Cricetulus griseus: one gene and its partner. The protein of the gene in region 1 interacts with the protein of each later gene in a biochemical or structural test. Links are inferred from orthologs where the notes say so. Each region holds a gene or a part of one and is shown in the gene's direction. Other genes may lie near its edges. The genes, in order: Stat2 and Ifnar1.

Region 1 (8,934 bases):
AACAGTGGTAAGAGGAAAAGATATTTCCTTCCCATCCTCATGCACACACCAGGCCTAGCCCTCATGGTTCCAGGACAGAATGAACAAAAAGAGGGCTCTGAGCTGAGTGTGGTGTTGGTGTCCAGGGATCCAGGTTCTATAGAGGAAACACATAAGAACTGAGAGTTCAGGCTAGTCTGGAGTGTATACTGAGACCCTGCTTGAAGACACACACACACACACACACACACACACACACACACACACACACACACAAAGAAGAAAGAAAAAAACCACCCCAGCATCTGAGGAAATGGCTCCATCAGGAACAAGCTTGCTATTCGAGCATAGGGCCTGAGTTCAGATTCCAAGCACCTACATAAAAGCTGGGCATAGCCAGGCGGTGATGGCACACACCTTAATCCCAGCACTCAGGAGGCAGAGGCAGGTAGATCTCTGTGAGTTTGAGGCCAGCCTCGAACTAAATAGTGAGTTCCAGGACAGCCAGGGCTGTTACACAGAGAAATCCTGTCTCGAAAAAACCAAATGAAAAAAAAAAAAATGCTGGGCCTAATACCAGGTACCTGTAACCCCAGCACCAAGTCGGAAGAAATAGTCAGAGACCCAGGGTTTGCTGGCCAGCCTCTTAGGCAAAATGGTGAGAACCAGGTTCAGTGAGAGAGCCTGTCTCAGAGAGCTGAGGAGCCATCAATGACGATGCACAACTCTGACCTGCACATATCGCACCTCCTGTACAAAATAAAGTGTCATCATGTTAATAAAACTTTTATCAGTTTTGTGTAACAAAGCAGTTTTGAGTTTAATCTCTTGGAGTAAAAATTGTGTTGAATCAGGTTAGTATTGGCTCATGTCTTTCATCCCAGTACCTGGGAGGCAGAGGCAGGTGGATCTCCAGAGTGAGCTCCAGGGTAGCCTGGGCTACACACAGAAACTCTGACTAGGGAAAAATTGTATTGAATACTTTGCCATATGTTTCCTGCATTGTTTGTTTGTGACAGGGTCTCATGTGTCCCAGGCTGGCCTTAAACTCTCGAACCCTCCTACTTAACCTTGAGAGTGTGGAAGAACAAGGAGGCAGTGGCATACCTGGTTCTGGGTTCTTTTTTAGTCGAGTGAGGTTTTTGTTTTGTTTTATTTTATTTTGTGTGCATTAGTGTTTTGCCTCATGTATGCCTGGGAAGGGTGTTGGGTCCCCTGGAACTGGAGTTACAGACAGCTGTGAGCTGCTATGTGGGTGCTGGGAACTGAACTTGGGTCCTCTGGAAGAGCAGCCAGTGCTCTTAACCCCTGAGCCATCTCCCCAGCCCCTCAAGTCAGTTTCCAACCCTCCACATTATTAAAAGGAGAGCACCCAGAACCTCAGTGGGGCCCTGTGAAACTCACACATCCTCTCTCTCCGGACTGTGTCATGCAGGTTGACGGCTGGAGCAAAGCTCCTGTTCCACCTTCGACAGCTGCTGAGACAGCTGAAGGAAATGAGCCACATGCTTAAGTATGACGGGGACATGTTCAGCAAAGGGGTGGACCTGCAAAATGCCCAAGTCACAGAGTTACTACAACGCCTGCTCCAAAGGTCTGGTGGCCTGGGAGGGGTCTGTGGTGGGAGGAACAAGGAAGAAACGTGGGGTTCCGGTTGTTACAGACACTGAACTGTTATCTTCTCTCCATGCCTCTTCCTTAGGTCCTTTGTGGTAGAAACCCAGCCCTGCATGCCCCAAACCCTTCATCGACCCCTCATCCTGAAGACTGGGAGCAAGTTCACTGTCCGAACAAGGTTGCTTGATTTTCTAACCCCTGCCTTGTTTTCTCCTACTCTGCCATTGTACCTTTTCTGACTTTGCAGATTCTTTAGCTGATGGAAATTTCTTCTTCCCCCTCCAGTCTACCTTCCCCTTCTAGTCCCCCACCCCCCCACACACACAGTTTTTTCTACACATCTGACCTTATCAAGAATTTGAGAACTAGGCAGTGGTGGTGCACGACTTTAATCCCAGCACTCGGGAGGCAGAGGCAGGATCTCTGTGAGTTTGAGGCCAGCCTGGTCTCCAGCGCTAGTTCCAGGGCAGCCAGGACTGTTATACAGAGAAACCCTGTCTCGAAAACAAACAACAACAAATTTAAGATTGACCACTATATCCAACCCATCTCCTTTCCCCCCAGACTGCTGGTGAGACTCCAGGAGGGCAACGAGTCACTCAAAGCAGAGGTCTCCATTGACAGGTAAGTTGAGCGGCTGAAGGATGTGACTAAGATGGCCAGTGGGGATGGACTGGTGCCAGCGGTAGTCGCTGCACAGCTGGACCCTCAGACTGCCTCCTGTCCGTGCCATTCTACCTTACAGAAGTGAAGCCAGGAGTTGTAGTGCACCCCTTTAATGGGGGGAGGGAGGCAGAGGTAGGGAGATCTCTGTGAGTTTGAGGCCAGCCTGGTGTATAGCGTGAGTTCCAGGGCAGCCAGGGCTACACAGAGAAACCCTGTCTCAAAAAAAAAAAACAAAAACAAAAACAAAAAACAAAAACAAAAGAAAAATAAAACAACAAAAACCACACACACGGGGTTGGAGAGATGGCTCAGAGGTTAAGAGCACTGACTGTTCTTCCAGAGGTCCTGAGTTCAATTCCCGGCTGACAACCATCTGTTATGAGATCTGGTGCCCTCTGCTGGCATGCAGGCACAAGACCGTATACATAATAAATGAATAAAATCTTTAAACAACAACAACAACAACAACAAAAAAACCACACACACAAAAACTAAACAACAGCAGCAAAGCCCACCCCCCTCTCACCAAGCACACACTCGCTGCCATGCAGCGTGTCTCAGGCTCGTTTTACTAACACAGCCACCAGGTGGGTATTAGTGACAAATAAGGACATGAACTCAGAAATACCGTGTCTCGTCTGACAGGCCATGTGGCCAGTGAACTCTAGAACCTGTCCTGACTACCAAGACCAAATTCCTATCCACTTTTACCTCCTGAGTGGAGGCTTGGTGGGACGGGGTGCTTCTGAGCCATCTCCCTGTCCCCCACAGGACCAGTGATTGTCTTTTTTCTTTCTTTTCAGGAATTCAGAGTTACCAGGGTAGGTGTCTGATAAGCACATGCACTCTGCATACATGGCCTGCACTACCACGGTTGGCAACACCGGTGGGGTCCACGGAAGGAAGGGGATGTGGGTGGGGCATGGACAACAGGAGAAGAGGAAGTCTGAAATGAAGTGGGATTTTTGTTTTTTTATTTGGATTTTAGTTACAGAAAGAGCTAGTGTGTGTGTGTGTGTGTGTGTGTGTGTGTGTGTGTGTGTACATGCCCAAGATCAAGAAAGAAAAATATGGAAATATGTATAGATCAGAGGACAACTAGTGGGAGTCTGCTCTTTCCTCCCACCATGTGGGTCTTGGGGTTTGAACTCAAGTAATCAGGCTTGGCCACAACCTCTCTGCCTGTTGAGCCATCTCACTGGCCCTTTCCTGCTGATTCTTAAAACTAACTCTGAGTATGGCATAGTGGGATACACCTGAAACTTCAGTACTTAGGAGTCTGGGGCAAGAGGATCACTGAGAATACAAGGCCAGCCTGGGCTACAGAGACAGACAGACAGACACTAACTTGCTCTTTGTCTCCGTATATCTTTTCCCTGGAACAGCTTCCGGAAATTCAACATTCTGACCTCAAACCAAAAAACCTTGACCCCTGAGGAGGGCCAGAGACAAGGTTTAGTTTGGGACTTTGGCTTCTTGGTAAGAAGGGTTAATAGAATTGGCCACTAATTCGAAGGACCAGGGTTGGAGGAATATTTCCAGGTCTTGGCCTTTGGGTCCCCTCCCTGGCATTGTATTTCCCTCCGTTCACAGACGCTGGTGGAGCAACGTTCTGTGGGGACAGGAAAGGGCACCAATAAGGTAAGGCTGGGGGGACTCTCCAGAGCCTCGACTGACCAAGGAGCCCTCTAATCACTGTGACTCTCCAGGGGCCGCTGGCCGTAATGGAGGAGTTACATGTCATCAGCTTTGTGGTGCAATACGTGTACCAAGGTCTGAAGATGGAGCTGCAGGTGAGTGAGGGGAAGCAGGGAAGGAGGAGGCAGCACATTTAGAAGAAACACACAGGGGGCACCGCACAGACACCAACGGAAGTGTCCCAAGGTCTCCCAGAGTGAGGTGTCATCCAGGCCCCAAGGCAGACGTCTGCCACCACCATGACTTCTGTCTGTTTCCCAGACGGACACGCTCCCTGTGGTGATCATTTCTAACATGAACCAGCTCTCCATTGCCTGGGCCTCAGTTCTCTGGTTCAACATGCTCAGCCCAACCCCCCAGGTAGGAGGATGAGGTGAATGGGTGAGGAGCAGAGAGGAGTGAAGGCATGGCGGGAAGGGCTGCTTTTGAGCCATCTCACCTCCCTCTCCCCCACAGAACCCCAAATTCTTCTGCCATGCTCCTAAAGCCCCCTGGAGCTTGCTGGGGCCTGTTCTCAGTTGGCAATTCTCCTCGTATGTTGGCCGAGGCCTCAATTCTGAGCAGCTGGGCATGCTGAAGAACAAGCTCTTTGGTACAGTTTTTCTTTGTTCTCACTCTTTCCCTAGCCTAGCTTGCCCCTACCCTGTGTCCTATCCCAGGCCCTCTGCCTGGCCCCCATGGCCTCCTTCATTCATCCAAACCATCTGTGACCCTGTCCTACAGGAAAGAACTGCAGGATGGAGGATGCATTGTTGTCCTGGGTGGACTTCAGTAAGGTAATTCCCAGCAGCCTGTGTCTCTCTAGTCCCCAGTCCCAATTCTGGCCCTGCCTCGACCCTTCCCTACACTAAGGGTAGCTCCAATCTCTTCCTGCCTTTCCATTCCTCCTTCAGAGAGACAGCCCCCCTGGCAAGATCCCTTTCTGGACGTGGCTGGACAAAATTCTGGAGCTGGTCCATGACCACCTGAAGGAGCTCTGGAATGATGGGTAAGGCCTTTCTCAGCCCTCCTATCCAGGGTTTTCTCTCACTGGGCTCAGGAGTGGACTTCGTGCGCCCCCTTATGGCACGGGAGAGACCAAAAACTGACGGGAGGTCCCGTTAGTAATAGTAATTATGGCCTGTATTTGTCAAGTGTCTGCAGTGTTGCAGAGCCTGCAGGGTGCTCAGTCCCTGCAGGCTCTGTTCATTGTGTCACCAGTGTGGTGAATAGTTCCACCTTCAGTCTCATGAGGAAACCCATTCTTGGAGAAATTAGGAACTGGCTTAATGGACAGAATTGGGAATAGACTCAGGCTTGGGCAACTGTCCATCACCTGGCCTTTTTACACACACACACACACACACACACACACACACACACAGAGAGAGAGAGAGAGAGAGAGAGAGAGAGAGAGAGAGAGAGAGAGAGAGAGTCTCTATTATGTAGCTCTGGCTGGCTGTCCTGCAACTTGCTATGTAAACCACATTGGCCTTGAACTCACAAATCCACTTGCCTCTGCCTCCAGAGAGCTGGGATTAAAAATATTAGATGCTATGTCCAGCTCTATTGTGTTTTTACGTAGTGTGTGTGTGTGTAGTTAGTGTGTGTGTGTGTGTGTGTGTGTGTGTGTGTGTGTGTGTAGATCAGAGACTGGACTCAGGTGGTCAGGCTTGGTGGCAGGTACCTTTAGCTGCTGAGCCGTCTGTCACTCCTTACCTCATACCTTTCTTTATTGTATCCTCATTGAATGCTCACACCCCTTCAAATCTTGGGGGTAGGAGCATTGTCAAAGTGACAGAAATAGGGCCAAATCCCAGTTCCCACTTCCACACGAATGGGACAGGGACCTTGGGACCTTACAGTGACTTTGTCTGCTCCAGGCACATCATGGGCTTTGTGAGCCGGAACCAGGAACGCCGACTGCTGAAGAAGATGGTCTCTGGGACCTTTCTTCTGCGCTTCAGTGAAACTTCTGAGGGGGGCATCACTTGCTCTTGGGTGGAGCACCAGGATGATGGTTGGTGCCCCCATTATACCTCTTCACACACGCTGTCACATACCCCAATGACACACACACACACACACACACACACACACACACACACACACCATTACACACCCACACACCCCATCACATACACCCATCACATACACCCATCACACACCCCATTACACACACACACACACACACACACACACACACACACACACACCATTACACACCCACACACCCCATCACATACACCCATCACATACACCCATCACACACCCCATTACACACACATACACACACACACACACACACCACACATACACACACCACACACCCCATCACATACACCCATCACATACACCCATCACACACCCCATTACACACACACACACACACACACACACACACACACACACACACCATTACACACCCACACACCCCATCACATACACCCATCACATACACCCATCACACACCCCATTACACACACATACACACACACACACACACACCATCACATACACCCACCACACACCTCATTACACACACACATACACAGTCACACACACACACCCCATCACATACACCCATCACACACCCCCAACTGTTCCTGCAGTCTCTACTCTCTGCCAGGCACCCCACCCCACCCTCTCTGACCCTCTGTCTGCTCTTGGTTTCTGGGACTCTGCCTGGATCCCATAGTAGCTTTGAGGTTGGGCAGCTAAGGCAGAGAACTCTGGGGCTAGCCTCACCTCAAGCCCACTATTTTTCAGATAAAGTGATCATCTACTCCGTGCAGCCCTACACCAAGGAAGTGCTACAGTCACTCCCACTGACAGAAATAATCCGCCACTACCAGGTTCTTGCCGACGAGAACATCCCTGAGAACCCTTTACGCTTCCTCTATCCCAGAATCCCTCGGGATGAAGCTTTTGGGTGCTACTACCAGGAAAAAGGTTGGGATCATTGGCATACATCCTTCCTAGAGTGAAAGGTTCCTCAGATATTGGAAAGTCCATCTCCCTCCTTTCACACACAGGGCACATTTGTCCATGGCGCATGCCCCTTAATAGGGAGGTACATTTGTCAGGACTGTCACGTGTCCAACACATTGATCTCTCCCACCTCCTGTCTGTGTCCCCACAGTTAATTTTGAAGAGCGGAGGAAATACCTGAAACACAGGCTAATTGTGGTCTCCAACAGGTGAGATACAAACCCTTCACTCAAAATCCTCTGCCTGCTGACCCCAGGCACCAACTTCTCTCTTCTCTCATGGTTTCCTGCCATCTCCCTGGTGGCCATGATCAAAACCACTCACGTAATGGGACTCTTCCTGATGCCAGTCATAGTACTGGATTTTCTAAAACCTTTTGTTGTTCAGCCCTTATGAGGACCCACAGGAGTGGGTAACAGTAATGGTATCATATCAAACTCGGGCACAGCCATATGCAAAGGCAAAATGCTTGCACACAGAAAGTAAAAATAAACTTAAAAAAATGTAACTGATAATATGTGATTCATCTAGCTAGTAAGTGAGAGGGATTTCAAGGCCAGATGTGGTGGCAGTATGTGCCTATGATTCCAGCATTTGGGGAGTGGAGAGCAGAAGGCATACAAGTTCCAGTCTAGCCTTGGCTATGTAGAGATTTGAAGGGCCAGCCTGGGCTATATGAGACCCTGTCTCAAAGGAAGACAGAATAACAAAAATCTTAAAATCTTGATTATAAAGCCCAAGGCCTTTAGACCTTTGCATCTGTCCCCCACCCCAGGCAGGGTCTCACCATGTACACCAGACTGGTCTCAAACTCACAGAGATCCACCTGCCTCTGCCTCCTGAGTGCTGGGTAAAGCTATGTGCAAACACACCTAGATCCCCATCTCCTTCTTAGACTAGAAACACAGCCCCTGCTTGCTCTGCCTTTTCTCACTTTATCACACTCACTGAGTCTTGTCCCATTGTCTGTCCTTGTCTACCTAGACAGGTGGACGAGCTGCAGCAACCTCCAGAACTTAAACCGGAAGCAGAACTGGATCCGTTAGAGCTAAATGAAGATCTCATGTCAGCCATGACATTAGAACAAGACCTGGATTTACAGACGCTGCTGGAGGAAGGGCTGGATCTAGGGACAAAGCTGGAACTAAACCCCACACCGTGTGTGGACCCACAAACAATGCCAGAGGCAGACCCAGGACCTGCCTCGCAGCTGTCACCAGAGTCAGATTTACCTCAAGATCTGCAGCAGCTGAACATGGTGGATATGGAAAGTAAGTGACAAGGCCAGGCTGGGGAAGAGGGGACACCTTTAGCTACCTCACTCTGACCCATTACTAAAAGGTGAGCTCCAAGGCCCTGGTTAATTTCCCAATGTTAGGAAGTGCAAGCACCTCCTGTGTCCCACTCTGTTCTTCCATTTCCCAAGATCCCCTTCAGCCCCAGACTGTGCCTGTTCTTCTTGTTGGGAGCATCCAACTTGGATCAGGGACTGACATTTTCTCTGTGTGCTCTAGTTTTCAGAAACAACATCATAAATATTGATGACATCATGCCCCACGGTGACCCGCTGTTGGCTGATCAGAACATCGGAGACGAAGCCTACATGTCCTGCCAGAGCCATTTTGATGTGGATGGACCCTTGATTCCTTCTGATGACTAGAAGTCTCGTTCCCCTCTGTCCTCCCTACAGTGGGAGATGAGGCCTTCTGAGCTGGGTTAGCCATGGACTTTGGAGTAAGAGGTAAAAGTGTAAGATGGCTTTGAAGGTGCACCAAAGAATCAGAACAGACACTGGCCGTAGTCTTGCTAGGATCCTGAGTCTGCCTGCCATGCTGGGAGATGCAGGGGTCCTGAGGGCAAGCTAGGACATTTGAGAGATTGTTAGAGGATACCCAAGGCAGTGCTATCTTTGCAGTATGGTAAGATTTTAATGGTTTGATGATTGGTAAGGCCAAATTGGTGTGACCTTTGTGGGGAGCACAGAGATGGATGGAGTTTTGTCCT
Region 2 (9,862 bases), on another chromosome or scaffold:
ATCGGCTGCGAGCCGGGAGCACCTGTGGAGAGAGGGAGCTTCCCCGCCTAGGCCGCAGGGACCCACAGGCTGTCCCAAATGGAGCCTAGGTTTCCAATATCCCACTCCTGACAACCAATAATGTGGGAAATTACCAATACGGAGCCAGGTAGAAATACAAGGGATTTTATCAGGGAAAAAGTCTTACTTACAGAACGACCTAGCCAGCTGGGGCAGCAGTCTGTACAGCAAGCCGAAAAGTGAAACTGAAACCGAAACCAGCCACCTGACTGCCCTTCACTCTACATCACCCTGACCACGCCTTTGCAGGCATGGCTACAGCATCCCCTACACCTAATTCTTACATTTCAGGTCAGTGAGAGACCCTGTCTCAAAAACAAGGTGTGAACTGCACATGAGAAAGAACATTTAAAGCTGACTTCTGGTGTCCACTTGCTTACACATATGTGTGGACCAACACAAACGCACATACGCATACACAAACAACAAGAAAACATTTGACAGAGCTATATTGAGGGGCTGGGAGATGGCTCCCATCTTCAAACTCATGGCAGTTCTCCTGCCTGAGCTCCTGAGAGCTGAGGTCATGAGTGTGGTTCATGCGTGCCTTGTGTCAATTCTTGAGACTGTAACTCCTCAATTTGGTATACATTCTAAAAGGCATGCACACCTACAATAATAACAATACATTCATTTTTAAATGTTTTAATATGTTGTGATAGTTATTCTTGGTTGTCAACTACCTCTGGAATTAACTAAAACCCAAGGGGCTGGGCACACCTGTGAGGATTTTTCTTGATTGAATTGTTTGAAGCAGGAAGATATAAAACCAAAACAGGAGCCGAATTGCTATTAAGTCTCCATACTTTACAGAATAAGTTTGTTTCCTAAGCCTACTATATCCTGTCAGCCATGGTTTCCAACCCATGCTGAATTTGTGACCCCATGGTGTGTGCCCACCCCTTTGCCTTAGTAAATGCCTGCACACCTGTCATGACCGCCTGTGCATTGGACATGTTCTTGTGCCCTGAGTCCCCCTCTCTTCCGTCCAGGTGCTAACAGCCAATGATCTCAACAGCTGTTTTCTACCACCCGTAACCCTTGCCCCTAAAAGGGACCTCAAATTAGGGCTGCTCTCTGAAACTCTGATTTAGAGGAGGCAGTCATCTGACCGGTCCCATGTGCACTTCTGAATATAGTCAGTCATAGAAACCGTTTTTCTCAGGTCTAACAAGACCCCATCCTAAGTCCCTTCTTCCGGTGGGAAAATCCACCTTTGACCTGGGTGGCAACTATATGAGGACACAGGAGGAGGAAGGTTTCTCTCTGCCTGCTTGCTCTCACTGGCAAGTCCTTCACTGGCATTAGAGCCTCCTTCTCCGGGATTCTGGTGTGTACTGAAGACCAGCCGAGACATCCTTGAACTTGCTGCTGGGAGACCAAGACTGCCATTGTTGGACTACCTGGACCACAGCCTCTAAGCCACTCTCATAGTCCCATAAGTGCAAACATACATACAAACATACATACATACATACATACATACATACATACATATTTCTGTTTCTGTTCTACCCCTTCTGTTCACACAGAGAACCCCAACTGATATGGATGTTTGTTCCCACATTGTGTTTTCATCAATCTCTTCCAGCTACCATTCCTCCTCAGGTTACTGCCATCACCCCCACTAGGGATTCTTTGCATGCCTATATCAGTTGTCTACACCATCCCATGAGCAACTGTCATCGACTAATTTATGAAATTACTTTTTTGGGAAAACATTTCAAATACTGAAGATGAAACAAAAAGCCTCCACAGTGTCACTTTGCACCTTAGACTTCCAGCTGTCATGTGGGGAAGGGAGCTTGGCTGAGATTGGAGGCGGAGCTTTTGAACCTCCAGGGTTGTGTGTAGCACAAAACGCATCCACAGTTTTGTGTTTTATGTTAGAGTTCTGGGGCACTAGCCTCTGGATTGAAGTTTGATTTTTATGTTTTCTCATCTTTTTATTATTATTATTATTATTATTATTATTACATGTTTGCTATGAGTGCTGCAAGTGTGGGGCAATCAGGACAGGTTGTGGTGGTCGGTCTGTCTCCACCGTGAGGATCCCAGAGATCTGTCCCAGGTCATTTGCCCTTGGTTAAATGCTTTCCTCTGCGCACTCTTGCCAAACCCCAGCTTGATTTTGAAACAGATCACTGATAGATCACTTGACACAGCCTGGAGTCATCTGAAAGGAAGCCCGGCTTGAGGGTTGTGTAGATAGGATGGGCCTTTGGGTATGTCTGTGGGACTGTCTTATTGTTAATCGGTGTCGGAGGGCAAAGCCCTCTGTACCACTTCATAGGCAGGTGGCCCGCAGCTGTGTAAGAAAGCGAGCCTAGTATAGGCCTGAGAGCAGACCAGCAAGTGGTGTCCTTCCAGCTTTCTGCTTCAAGTTCTTGCACTGCCTTCCCTCAATAACGAATGGCCTGTACCCTGGAGTATAAGTCAAGTAAACCCTTTCCTCCTAGCGTGTTTTATTGCAACCATTGTTGCTAAATGAGAACCCTTATTTGCATGACTTCCAAGTAATCACCTAAGCAAGGTTTCTCTATACTAGTGACCTTAGGGCCAGGTAATCCTTGAGGTAAAGCTGGCCTTGCCTCATAGGATTCAAGCGTCAGTAGCACTGCCTTATAGTAGCAATACCAAAACTGTTTCCAGACATTATCAGTGTCCTCAGCAGTGCTGCAAGCCATTTCCTCCAGAGCAGACATGAGCACTCATTGTTTGTTTTTGGAGACAGGGTTTCTCTGCGTAGTTTTGGAACCTATCCTGACACTCGCTCTGGAGACCAGGCTGGCCTCAAACTCACAGAGATTCACCTGCCTCTGCCTCCGGAGTGCTGGGATTAAAGGCATGTGCCACCTACTCCTGGCTTGCCTTGGGCTTTTTTTACCCTTCTTTATACCTTGCTTTCCTGCTGGCTCTGTGTCTGCCTGTCTAGTGGCTTCCCGGTTTCTGGCCCCAGGAGTCTCCCTCATTCTCTCCTCTCTTCTTCCTTTCTATTTATTCCCTCTGCCTGGCAGCCCCGCCTAGCTATTGACCCCTCAGCTTTTTATTAGATCAATCAGGTGCCTTAGACAGGCAAGGTGAAAGTGCTGCAACACGTCTCTACGTAATTAAACACACATCCTTACGTCATTAAACAAATGCAGAGTAAACAAAAGTAATACACCTTTACACTGTTAAGTAATATTCCACAGTATAAACAAATGTAATACATCTGCAGCCCAGTTATTCCACAGCATGAATGGACTTAGAAGCAAGGCCACCAATCTTGGGGGCGGGGATTTCTCCTTCATATGTGGATCCTAGCCTCTGGCTACATGTGTATAATTGAACATGTACTTGAAAGTAGTATAACAAGTTATAGAAGAACAAGAATGGATAATTACAACATAAAATGCCTACTCAGGAGCTCACACATACACTTTGTGTAAGTTCTGTGTCTGTGCTCCCAAAGTATAACACATTTCCAGTGTAAAGTAAGTCCGTAAATGGATATTGACTGTGTGATTCCACGAGAGGCTATTTATATTACTGTGAGACCTGAATTGTAAATTTGTGTTTTCATTGACATTCTTCTAGAATGTAGTTCTAAATACTACTAAATACAATGTACTTGATCCTTTACACAGGAATTTTTGCTATTCAGATTACAGAGGTAAAGTTTGTAGCAAGTATGTTTAAAATACTGTATTTTCAATGCACTGAGACTACCTGGAAATACTGCTTTGTTTCAAAGAGTAGCATGTCAGAAATATAAAACATAAGAGTTTTTTTTGGGGGGGTATATGGGGATTTTTTCCCCCACTGTAGCAAATCTATATTGTATCATTGTTGATAGATAAGCGTGCTTTAAAAAAAATTAAACAACAAATAAACTAAAGTCCCTTTAGGAGGTAGTAATGAAACAGAGTTAAGGGGCTAGAGAGATGGCTCAGTGGTTAAGAGCACTTGCAGAGGACGGGATTCGGATACCTAAGATGGGTAACGCCAGGGCCAGGGCATCTGGCACGTTCTAGAAGCCCTCACGGGTACCAGGCACGCACGTATGTGTGGCACACATACATACATGCAGGCATAACAATCACACATAAAACCAACCTCAAAATATTTTAGCGATCAGATTCAAATGCTGAGTAATCCAAACCCCACAGACGGTGCTAATCTACACAGCAAACCGTCCCATGGGTCCCGCTGCGATTTCAACCAAGGCGTCGAGCATAAAAATCGTACAGTGGACACAGTGGACGCTGTGTCGCCCGTGCCCACCGGGTCCCAGGGTCGGGGCATGCCCCCACCAGGGGCAAGCAGGCGGACCAGCCACCCGTGAGGCGACGCCTCGTGGCAGCGGACCAACCCCGCCCCAGGGCAAAAACAGGAAGCGAGGGGCGGGGTTCGGGATGTGACCGGGAGGATCTGCGCAGGCGCGCTGGCTGCGCCCGCGTTTCTCTCTGGAGATGGCTGCGGTAGCCCGTCTTGACGGAAGTGGGAGTGGGGCGTGACAGGGACCGCTGTGGCCGGAGGTCAGCGCGAGTAGAAGGCTAGATCTCCCGGGACCTTCAAATCGTCTTGCTCCCCAGGGGCCTCCGGGGCGGAGGGGCGGGGCATCCGCGGAGGGGCGGGCGTCGCGGGAAAGGGGCGGGGCGTCGCGGGAAGGGGCGTGGCGTCACGGGGAAGGGAGGGCCGCGCTGCTCCGCGACCGCCGCAGCGACGCAGGAGGAGACGGGGATGTGAGCCACGGGCCCGGCGTGCGGGGACGATGCTCGCGCTGCTGGGCTCGGCGGCCCTGGTGCTGGTGGCCGGGGCGCCGTGGGTGCTGCTCGCAGCCGCAGGTGAGCCGAGGGGCCTGGCCGAGGGCCGGGCGGCGGGCAGGGGGAGGCCTGGGCCGCTCTGCGGGCGCGGGTGGCCGGAGTCCCCGCACGCTGGCTGACCCGGGCTCCCTCCCGGCGCCCGCGCCCTGCCCCAGCCGGGGACGCTCGCACGCTCGCACGCTCGCTCGGGGCGGAGGGAGGGCGGGAGGGAGAGCAGACGGCCGCAGAATCGCGCTGGCCCAGCCTGGTGCAGCTCGTCCCGGCTCGCCCGGCACTGAGAGCCGCCCTAACGGGCCGAGGCCGGAGCGTCTCACAAACACGGACAAGCAAGCCGGGAAGCCAGTGGGCCAGCTGGCTGGGGAACGGCGACAGACAAGGCCTCTTCCTGGAGGCCTAAGGACCCAGAAGGCAGCCAGGCCGCGGCAAGCTCGGCTTCCTCTTAGGAATCGGACGCCCCAAGTGTCACCCTCCCTCCTGCAGATAGCGCCCAGGACTGTAACCTCGCGCAGCTGGCCTATAGGAGCTTTCTCTTAGAAGTCCTCAGTGGTGGCGCTCGCCTTTAATCCAGCACTGGGGAGGCAGAGGCAGGTGGATCTCTGTGAGTTCGAGGCCAGCCTGGTCTCCAGAGCGAGTGCCAGGACAGCCTCCAAAGCTACACAGAGAAACCCTGTCTCAAAAGAAAACAAAAAAGAAATCCTCACGTTCGTGTTTACTGCGATCTGCAAGGGAACGCCTCCCTGTTTTCCTGTGAAATGGACATCCGAAGTTAATTTTAGCCCGCTGTGGTGACATTCACCTGTCATCTCGGCCCCGGAGATACTGAGGCAAGAGAAACAGTAGCACCGGGCCACCGCGTCTGTGCTCAGTACTGAGGCTGTGTCTCAGAAGAATTGACCTCAAACTGAGCCAGTTACCGAGGCTCACTCTATAGGCGCATTTGCTGGACTCTTGCTACGCTTGTCACAGAGTGTTTTAAAGTAATAAACTAAACTTTCAGCGCTGCCGTTCCACAGATGGGGAAACTGAGGCACTCAGGTTTAAGTAGCCTGCCTAACATCGTGCACCAGTTTCTGACTGAATCGAAAAAACCATGCATTGATCGTCTTAACTGAGAGCCGTGTGGCTTAACCGCGCTGAGCAGTTGTTGTTTTGATTGTGTGTGTGTGTGTGTGTGTGTGTGTGAGAGAGAGAGAGAGAGAGAGAGAGAGAGAGAGAGAGAGAGAGAGAGAGAGAGAGAGAGAGAGGAGAAGAGAGGAGGAAAAGAGGAGAGAGGGAGAGAGAGAGGGGGAGAGGAGAAGAAGGGGGAGAGGGGAAAAAGGAGAGAGGGAAAGAAGGGAGAGGGAGGAAAAGAGGGAGAGAGAGAGAGAGAGAGAGAGAGAGAGAGAGAGCGCGCATTCATTGTGCGCCGCCTGTGTGCTCAGGAAACCGGAGGGCAGAGGCGAATGTCGGGCGCCTGGCTCTGCTGCTGCCCTCCGTATTGGGACAGGATCTCTAACTGAACGTGGAGCTGGATAATATACTGGCCGCCCATCAAGCTCGGAGGACCCCCCTGCTGCCGTCTGCTCCACACCGGGATGGCTGGCACGTGCTGCCACGCCCAGCTGGAGACCCGAACTCAGATTCTCACGCTTGCGCCATTTCCTTTAAGGCAGGTTCTAACCCGGCTGGCTTTGAACTTGAACCCTCTTGCCTCTGCTAGTTGAGTGCTGGGATTACTGGCATATGCTACCACCCCGAGCCAGAGATGGGTTAGTTGTTTTGTTGTTTTGAGATGGCCCTGGCAGAACTGGTACTCACAGAGATCAACCCACCTCTGCCTCTAGAGTACTGGGATTAAAAGTGTGCACCACCACACCCAACCAGAGCTGTTTTCCTAAAGGAAAACATTTCAAATAAAATAGTTGACTATCCTTTTACATGTTAAAGCCCTCCTTAGCCCTCTTGCTGTTAATGCTCTTCTCCCCCTAAAGGGACAATAATGTTGAAAAATTAGTGAATGGGTACTCTAAACTTGAGATTGTAATGTTGGTCCTTACTCCACAACTCAAATAAAATAAAATAAAATCATTCTTTTTGTCCTAGTAAGGGCCAGTCTAGGACTTTAGACCAAGAAAATTGTCCAACAAGTTAATGAAATCCTGCTGTATAAATGGATGGATGGATGTCTCTATGTTTACATCAGATTTCAGAAAATAGTACACCCTAGTGGTCAGCAAGATGAACATTAAAGCTTGGAAGCAACTGAAATTATAAATAAACGCTCATATATAAATTTTATATCTTGGACCAGCAAGATGGCTAAGTAGGAAAAGGTACCTGCCCCCAAGCCTGAGGACCTGAGTTCAATCCCCAACCCACTTGGTAGAGAGACCCGACTCCAGCAATCTGTCTTCTGACTTCCACATGCTCGCTCTAACATAAATGTGCCCACAGATAGACAAACACATGCACAAATTCAGTAATGTTATGTTACATGCTAAGGGGGGAATAAACTGTTGTTACTGACACTGCAGAATCTATGAAACAACGTCCAGTTAACTCTCATTTCCAAATCTCCATTCACTTCTGAGTCACCAAAGCACCAAAATGGTTTTACCATCAGGGGCTCCTTCAGTTAGAGAGATGATGGCACCCTGGAAGCATCAGGGGCTCCTTCAGTTAGCGACATGGCACCCTGGAAGCACCCCTATCTGTACCTCATCAAATCTCCACCTCCTCTCCGGCTCACAATCATTTTAATTACAATATTACCAACAGGGTTAGAGTGGTGACTCAGCAGTTTAGAACGTTGGCTTGTCTTTCAGAGGACCCAGGTTCAAGTCCCAGTACCCAGTTCTAGGTAGACCGATGCCCTTTTCTGGCTAGACAGGGACATGGTGTACATGCAGACAAAGTACTGACACATATAAAATAAATCTGAAAAGGAATACTGTGACCGCGACAGATGCTATTGGATCTTCTGTTAATCTCCTAAACCCAATCACTGCCCTTTCCGCACAGTCTGTAAATTCCAGCAAGTGGGATGGGGATCGAGTTAAGAGGGGAGATTGTGTTTAGGCTGAAGGTGGAAGACTCTGGTGGGGGTCCTGGGTCTCTCCTCATCCGATCTAGCTATACTCTTAGCCTCTGGAGTAGAAGCGTCAGGATATGACGTGGTTGTCTGAGACAGAAGTCAAAACAGTGGGGCCAGATCTGAAAAGATAGTTTTAAAAAATTACAGCCTAGGCGCTGGAGAGATGGCTCAGTGGATAAGAGTGCTGTTGTGTAGCGGGACCTTTCCCTAACCCTGGTCCAGGGAGTTCAGTACCTTCTTCTGACTTCCGTATCATGAGGCACACGTGGTGCACACACATGCATGCAGGAAAGACACTCATGCACGTAAAGTAAACCTTAAAAAAAAAAAAGCATATCAGGACTGGAGAGGTGGCTCACTTCAATCTCTACCTCCAGAAAATCCTAACAGCACCTGCTCTCATCTGCTCACACCCACACACAGACACAACACAAATATAACTTTAAAAAGTGTGTGTGTGGGGGGGGATCTGCATAAGACCAAACTAAACTCCCTTAACATAGGTGACAGTGGTGTGACTGGGACAATACATGAGGCCACTGGCAGTGGGTCCAAGATCTAACTCTAATGCACAAATTGACTAAGTGGAGCCCATTCTGTATGGAGAGATAGCTTGCCCAGCCTAGACACAGGGGTGTGGGGGTGGAGAGGGGCCTTGGTCCTGCCTCAACGAGATCAATGAGATGATGGGACAGACTTAGTAGACTTCCTAGGGGAGGCCTCACCCTCTCCATGGAGAAGATGGGAGGAGGGAGAGTGGAGGGAGTAGGAGGAAAGGAAGGAGGGGGAACTGGGATTGTAATGTAAAAAATAAATTAATTTTAAAAAGAGAAAAAGAACAGAAAAAAAGGGGGGTTACAACATGTCTTTTTAAGGATTCTAGAAATATGACTAGCAGGAGTCAGTGTCTCCACCTAGACAGCACTTTAAACTCTTTGGAACTCTCTGGAGTGTGCCAAAGACTTTAAATCATTAGCCCAAAAGAGTGACTCTGCTTTCAAGGGAAATGAAATACTTTCTTCTGAAACAAATATGAGTGACCAAAACCCAAGAATACCTATTCAAAGGTTACATGATCTTTTTTTTGTTTCTGTACCCATAGAGCAAACAAGTTCTACGTTATTCAGTAACTATAAGGATGCAGGGAGCAGGGCATTACATAGACAAGTTATAGGAGCGAGGGACACCCACCAGCCACCAGAAGGAAACGATACCTTACCTCATTCTTAGAAGATTGTCTACCTCAGTGGTCTACTCTTCTACCTACTTCCCTGCAAGTGTTAGGTCAGGAGAGACACTTGTTTCTGAAGGTTCTGGAGCAGCCCTTGCCCCAGCCTCCCAGTGCCTGAGGCGGCAGATGGGTCTGTGCTTTAATTCCTTTTGGAGGAAGATGCTGTCTAAACATGGTCCTTCTTGGAATGTGGTCTATTGTCATAGTTTCTTTGGAAGTTTCTAGTTCACACAATTAAGACTATAAGAGACAGGCATTATATATTAGTAAAGGTTCTATATAGCAATTATAAAGGCCCGCACACCTCATGTTTAAATTGTGTACGAAATCTGTCCATCCTTCCTAGGGTGGGGATCTTCCCTTTGTCCAGGATATACAAATAACCAATAAAGTAGTACGGAGATTGTGTCCAAGCAACCCTCTTATTTACCTAATAATGGCCCAAGTCCTCAACCACACTGTAATTACTCTGTATTGTATTAATTTTTATTATCTTCTTATGTCTGTTTTATTAAGCTATCATAACTGTAATTATGTAGGAAAATGTCTGGATAGAGCTGGGCTCTCACTGCAGTTTGAGGCATCCACTGGGGGCCTTGGCTACAGTGCCCACATTTCAGAGGAAACTGCTGTATACTTTGCTCTGTGTGAATAAATTCTGTCCTGGGCTTAGTGTTTAAGTCCTTAACT

What was found.
Region 2: the proteins of Stat2 (region 1) and Ifnar1 form a complex in vitro, tested with the Homo sapiens proteins (2 studies listed by BioGRID). The link is inferred for Cricetulus griseus from reciprocal best matches to the Homo sapiens genes STAT2 and IFNAR1.

Annotation. Positions count from the first base shown.
Region 1 is NW_023276806.1:129,589,126-129,598,059, reverse strand, and holds part of Stat2 (signal transducer and activator of transcription 2), read left to right. Parts: coding exon 1-7; intron 8-1,414; coding exon 1,415-1,573; intron 1,574-1,681; coding exon 1,682-1,774; intron 1,775-2,160; coding exon 2,161-2,220; intron 2,221-3,065; coding exon 3,066-3,083; intron 3,084-3,647; coding exon 3,648-3,741; intron 3,742-3,855; coding exon 3,856-3,903; intron 3,904-3,971; coding exon 3,972-4,055; intron 4,056-4,221; coding exon 4,222-4,320; intron 4,321-4,416; coding exon 4,417-4,552; intron 4,553-4,683; coding exon 4,684-4,736; intron 4,737-4,853; coding exon 4,854-4,948; intron 4,949-5,822; coding exon 5,823-5,959; intron 5,960-6,708; coding exon 6,709-6,891; intron 6,892-7,081; coding exon 7,082-7,139; intron 7,140-7,914; coding exon 7,915-8,201; intron 8,202-8,444; coding exon 8,445-8,590; 3' UTR 8,591-8,934. UniProt on the Homo sapiens protein: Signal transducer and activator of transcription that mediates signaling by type I interferons (IFN-alpha and IFN-beta).
Region 2 is NC_048597.1:6,299,208-6,309,069, reverse strand, and holds the start of Ifnar1 (interferon alpha/beta receptor 1), read left to right. Parts: upstream 1-4,734; 5' UTR 4,735-4,816; coding exon 4,817-4,889; intron 4,890-9,862. UniProt on the Homo sapiens protein: Together with IFNAR2, forms the heterodimeric receptor for type I interferons (including interferons alpha, beta, epsilon, omega and kappa).